Linked DNA regions of Yarrowia lipolytica. The protein of the gene in region 1 interacts with the protein of each later gene in a pairwise test. Links are inferred from orthologs where the notes say so. Each region holds a gene or a part of one and is shown on either strand. Other genes may lie near its edges.

Region 1 (3,955 bases):
TGCAGTCTACTGTGGCGAATGCTGCCGCTGGACAATATCAGTCAGTCAGAGGTGATTTGGAAAGCTAAAGACCGAGGAAAAAATGTGTGTCACATCCTGTATCTAAGCGATATTTATTCTTTTAATTTCATTTCCAACACAGTTTGCAAATGACACATGAGTTTTTTTTTTTTTTTTTTTTTTTTTTTTTTTTTTTTTTTCTTCATGAGAGGTTCGAACCTGGGGAGCTCGACTCTCTAAGTATTTACTTGAATTTGTTTGTTGGAAAATGGTTGATTCTACTGTAGAAGCCCAGACTAAGAGAAGAGACGATTCAAGCACAGGAGATCTACTAGGATTCCATAGAAAACAGGTGTACTGAAAAATCTTTGTTGTTCATCCTGTAGCTAGCTCTGTCTGCTGATGAACAGCCATCTGACTACAGGTATTGTCTTTAGCTCCTTGATAATTGCACTTGTAGTATGGATGTGATGAACACAGTATTGTACACCTACTAATGCCAAATTTTCTCGTGGTTATCCCATGGCATCTTGGCTAGCAGTGTACATACATAACACACTTTGGATCTACTTCGCGTATTCTTGATTTCATTCATATTGCATTGTCTATAGTCTACTAGGTTACTCCATCTCCTCGTCCTCATCCTCCTCCTCGCTCTCACTGAGCTGTTCGGGCTCGTCCTTGAAGTCGGCCAGCTCGACCTGGTCGGACTCGTTTCCGTCGTTAGCGTCCTGTTCTTGCGATTCTCGAAGAATGGCAAGCTTCTCGGCTCGCACCTGTCGCTGCACCACCACATAGGAACCCAGAGGGGTCTTCTGCCAGTCCAGGTCCTTGAGGAAGTTGTTGACCTGGTCTCGGTTGGTGGGGCCAAAGTCAATGTTGGCTCGCTTCTGCTCAATAAACTTGGCGTTGGCGTCGATCTTATCCAGCAGAGTCAGCAGCTGGCGGTTGAACTTGGAGATGTTGGACCGTTTGGTAAACCGCTTGAGAGTGATTACAGCTGGAATGGCAAGCTCGGGGAAGGCCACTGACTTGCAGTAAAGCACAAAGAACTCGGACACCAGCTCCACAATCTGGTCGCACACACCCTCCTGGTAGACTCGAGAGCCCAGATAGCCCTTGTTGGCTCGGATGGCGTAGTCAAAGTCCAGGGGCTTGAGAGCCGAAGACTTGGGGGGCTTGGTCATGACCGACGAGTTAAGCAGCTCTGTGAGAAGAGGCAGCAAAGGGATGTAAACTCCAGTTCGCTGGGAGATTCGGAGCAGAGATCTGATCAGGTAGAATCGCAGAGGGAAGAACTGGACCGAGGGGATTAATCGGATCGTTCCAAGAGTGACCTGGACCAGAGGGTATAGCAGAGGTCGAAGAGGGGACTGAGAGCCCTTAGTGGCCTCGTTCTCGGCGTCACAGGTATCGGCAACCACTCGGGACCAGTAGTCCAGAGAATGCACAAACTGCCAGTTGTAGACGGCCTTGTAGGCGTGTTTGGAGGCAGTCTTATTGGTCAGAGAGCCTCGCAGGTGGATGGCCAGCTGTCGGATGGCGTCAAAGGCAATAGGATAAGCCTGCTGCTCGTTGACAGCGTACAACATGGCGGCGGTATTCTTCATGAAGTTGATGGTGCCCATGGTGTGGAACGAGGTGTTTTTGCACGAGTTGACAAACTGTCCGTAGGCGGCCTTCAGAATGGCCTCATAGGTACCGGAGTGCTCCTTGGACTCAGTAATTAGCAGAGCAAAGGCAGCCTCTCGGGCAGAAATGGCAGAGCTGGTACCCCAGATGTAGCACACGGAGGCGATGAGGTTCTTAGTGAGCTTTCGATGACTCAGCATGTAGGGCATGACCTTTTTGAGTGCAGCAATGGACCGGATAGTCTCCTCGGCTCCAGTGGTGGTGCTCAAAGACTGCTGCAGGACATCTCCATACGACTTGATGATAGCTGTGGCAGACTTGTTGTTGGTGGCGGATTCCTCGTCGACAACGCTGGTACCCTTCTTGGACTGCTTGAGAGGCAGCTGCTTGGTCAGAACCACAGGCACCCACCTGTTGACCACATCAAATAGCTTGGTGACCACCTTGATGTCGTTGATAACGTATTTGAAGTTGGCAGTAGCATTCTCATCCTCCTGAGAAGCTAGAGCAGCCTTAGCAGCCCGCAGAGCGTTTCTAGCAGCGTCGGTAGATTGAGTCTTCTCCATGGCAGATGCCCACTTCTTGACCATGGCCAGTGTCACCTCCTCCTTGTCCTCCTCCTCGGCGTTGGCGTCCTCCTCCACGTTCTCCTCGTCGTTTAGGTATTTGAGAAACTCGGGGTCGTCCATCTCGGGGGCCTCGTCCTCGTCAGAGAAGGCCTCTCCTTCAGAGTCGTCGTCAGCTTCAATCTGATCCTGCTCGTCCTCGTCTTCCTCGTCTTCAAGTTCCTCCTCGTCCTCGTCCTCCTCAGCGGCCTTGCCCTTCTTTTCGGGAACCTCAAATCCACCCTTCATAAAGTCGCCCACAGACATGTCTTCGAAAAACGAAGGAGCAGCCTTCTCGACCTTGTCTTCGGCAGAGACGCTAGCTCCAGGACGTCGACCCTTGACGGCCTTGGCCTTGGCAGCCTGGTCCACACGTCGCTTATCTATGGTTTTCTTCAGATGCTTGTTTTGGAACTTTTTCGTCGCCTTTGATGCCTTACCCATAGTGATTGTCTTGTAGTGAGATGTGCTTATGCTCAATTTGAAATTTCATCTCGAATTTTTTTAGAGTTGATGCGGGCAGAAAGTTTAATCGAAATGTTGATGAAGACAACTTAGACACGTGATATGGAATCTTATACACGTTAAAACAGCTGTTGACATATATATGTGTTTATAAGACCCATCAGGAATCACATTTACGTCTTATTTTCTACTCATAACCTGTAACTCCACGTCCGGGGGGTGCAGGCTACAGATTTCGAAACGCTAAAAACCGCCTTCGTGGCCAAGTGGTAAGGCGCAGCACTAGTAATGCTGAGATCATCAGTTCAAATCTGGTCGAAGGCAAATATATTTTTTTTGGCTTCCCTTTTCACGAAGACACCAGTACCGGCGGTATGGACTGCGCCCACGCGACTTTTGCTGTATGTGGGTCAGGATTTTTCTAGCGTGGGTTGGTTTGGGAGTGTGAACTTTAGTTGAGGTTTTAACTAAATTTAACAACATGGGGGTGTTGGTATTAGTTTGTTGTAGGGGTAAAAACAGCTTGATTTCCTTTTATTTTTTTGTTCAATATATTTCTACAACTGTCAGAGACATGTAAATATACGTCTAATTACCATGGACTGCTTGCATCCGTTAGACAACCCCAACAGGCAGTTCTCTTAACTAAACTTCCAACAAAGTCAACTACTGTACTTGTACTAGACCACAACCTGTAGCACACCTACTCAAGAGTAACATAATATATTGGGGTTGCTAGTTTTTTTGAAGAAACCTATCAAACCATACCATGTGAGAGGATTCCCAGAAATCATTCAAACCACTCTCGTCCCCCGTAACCGTCCTGTACTTGTTATCGCCTCGTTGCTCCATCCATTTTACATCCAATAACCACCACGGTGCTTCCTAAACCTAGAAGTCCACCAAGGTGTGTAGTGTTATCCCAATATATAATCTGTCATCAGCAAACGACATGGTATACGATACACGGTGGACACCACGATACGGAGGCACACACAGACACGGACACAGACACAGATACAGACACGGGCATAGACGCAGACACAAACCGACGAGACACAGAGACACAAATACAGATAGTATGGACAACACGGACAAACGACATGGTGGTGGAGTACGGTCATTGCACAACACACCCAGTTACCAACACTCAGACACAGAAGACACGATGAAGACAATTCCCCAATGATGAGCGAATCATCTTTTGCTACGTCACCGGTGCTGTAATTTCCGACTATCTCGTTCTATCTCAT
Region 2 (2,307 bases), about 370 kb from region 1:
GAGATCCAATTGTGAACACGGGTTAGTCCATTGTAACCAGTATAAAAAGATAACTTGACAAGTGCGGACTTCTTGTAGAGAGTGACTGTCGGACACTCTACTGCCAGCGAATTGTGTGCTCCACTAAATGTGAGAATGCTTCTTTCTTTGCTTATTGGAGCGTGAGAAGTTGTATCGCAAACCTGGAATATGTCCATTTCTTGGTCCACAATGAAACAGAAGGTTAGAGTGTGTACAGTGTGTACCTACTGTAGCCAGTTTGTTCTCCTCAATGAAGATATATCTACATGCTGTAATTGTACGCCTTTAAGCCCTGTCCACTCTACCATCGCTTACGACCTCCTTTCTGCGCCTAACAACTATCTGTACGTGAATATTAAATATATGTCTATGTCTTTTATGGATGGATCTCTAGTATCCGTATACTGCTTGCTAGATCCTTGGTGATGTTCTATAGGGAAACCATTTGGAGCCAGATAGCTATGGTCGGAGACTCGGGTTTAAACAAACCCAGCCCACTCGTCCTCCTCGTCCTCCTCGTCCTCCTCGCCAGCGCCCTCGAGCTCCTCGGCAACACCCCACTCGATGAGCAGAGGGTTCTCGAGCACGTCCTCCACACATCGCTTCTGAACGACCGAGTTTTTGGTCTCCTCGGACAGAGTCTCGACTGCCTCGAGAAGCTCGGAAACGGGAACGTCGGCAAACAGCTCCTTGACCAGCTCGGCCTCCTCTTCCTCGTTCTCGGCCTCCTTCTTGTCCTTGAGCACCACCTTGGCCAGCTCTTCTAGATAGATTTCCAGCACGTGGTACCGAATACTGTCGGGGATCTTGGGGTTTTCGGGGTTGAGAGGGATCTTGCTCATCACCTCATTGTGTCGCTCGATCCAGGTCTCGTCCCAGTCCTCCTTGGCAAGTCGCTGGAAGGCGAAGCCCACGTACCGTCTAAGCAGCAGGTAAAACTTGTCGATTCGGTGCTTGTCTAGCGCGAGCCACTCGGCGCTCATAATCTTCCAGAAAGAAGCCAGGAATGTGAAGTAGTTGGTCTCGTGGACAACCAGCAGCAGAGAAGCCATGTCGTCGGCCAGACGCTGCTGTGTTCGAGGTCGGTCGCTGAACCACATGGAGAAGAACAGACCCTTCCACAGCTTAAGCAGTTCGAGCTCACCAAAGGCCTTGGGGGTTCCCAGGAACCGCTTGAGCGAGTTGAGAGTCTCGTCTCGAGTGGGTCGGTCATTGGCAGCCAGCTTCTTGATAAACGGGTAAGCATCGGGGCTTCCGAGCTGGATATCATCCGCGGAGTTGTCTTCCTTCTTAGAGTAGGGCTTATCTGCCTTGATGGCGGCCTTCTTGGACCCCTTTTTCACTTTGCCAGCAGCCATTGTAGTTGTAGTGTCTTGTGGTGGTTTGGATTGTATGCACCTCTATATTTTTTCAATCACTGCAGCTCGAAATTTTTTAGTGCTGCTTGAGAGAAGCATGAAAAAGGCAAAGTTGCAGGCGACCTCAGTTCGAGTCCCATGGTGGTAGCAGTAAATCACAGCAATAGAGCGGGTATCGAAGGAACGACAAAGTCCTTGCAACACTAGAAGCCTCAAAAAGTGTTATAAATATTAATAGGCCAACTCTTCCTATTTCTCGAGACTATACTACCCCCTTACCCTCAACTAAACCTCAACTAAACCACAACTAAAGTCCCAACTAACCTGTTGTCCCCTATCACTCACCCATTTTTAAAACTCTAAAAATACAACAAACGGTGTCCCCACAAAATCCCCCCAAAAAGGCGAAAAAAGCTCAACGGCATGGGAGCCTACACTGCTACAATATCGTCGCTACCGTGGTACTAGCCAAAGAATCAACCGCGTAGGAGGAGCGAACAGACCGATCTGCCCACTCGCTCTCACGTGACCCCATCCACGTGACTGCCCTCACTCAAGCCAACATCTGGGGCCCGCGTATTCCCCGAATCTCACATAACCTCGCCCAGCAGTATGTACGGTTCGGATATCGACGCGCATCTCCTGCCCTAACCCAGATGCCCAATGCAGGCTCCCCCACAAAACCATCTATTGCCGGGACCTAAAAAGTGTAGTGGGTTATAAGCCAGCTGAGACCCCGCGACATCTTACGACACTCTTCCACTGACCACGTCGACATTTGTGTGAATACAACTAGACCCGTCATGCTTCGAGCCGTTTCCAACCACGCCTGTTTGAGACAGGCTCTTTCCAGTACTCGGACTCTGAGAACTGGTCTCCAAAAACATGTCCATAAGACCCAGTTTGTGTCTGTGCGACACGTGTCGAC

The links. The genes of interacting proteins can lie anywhere in the genome.
Region 2: the proteins of YALI1_D14893g (region 1) and YALI1_D11151g interact in binary tests that used the Saccharomyces cerevisiae proteins (3 or more experiments, as listed by UniProt). The link is inferred for Yarrowia lipolytica from reciprocal best matches to the Saccharomyces cerevisiae genes NOC2 and RRP1.

Annotation. Positions count from the first base shown.
Region 1 is NC_090773.1:1,486,680-1,490,634, forward strand, and holds YALI1_D14893g (uncharacterized protein), read right to left. Parts: upstream 2,682-3,955; coding exon 621-2,681; downstream 1-620. UniProt on the Saccharomyces cerevisiae protein: Involved in the intranuclear transport of ribosomal precursors.
Region 2 is NC_090773.1:1,113,794-1,116,100, forward strand, and holds YALI1_D11151g (uncharacterized protein), read right to left. Parts: upstream 1,380-2,307; coding exon 501-1,379; downstream 1-500. Other genes in the region: YALI1_D11159g (uncharacterized protein), read left to right, coding at 2,183-2,307. UniProt on the Saccharomyces cerevisiae protein: Required for 27S rRNA processing to 25S and 5.8S.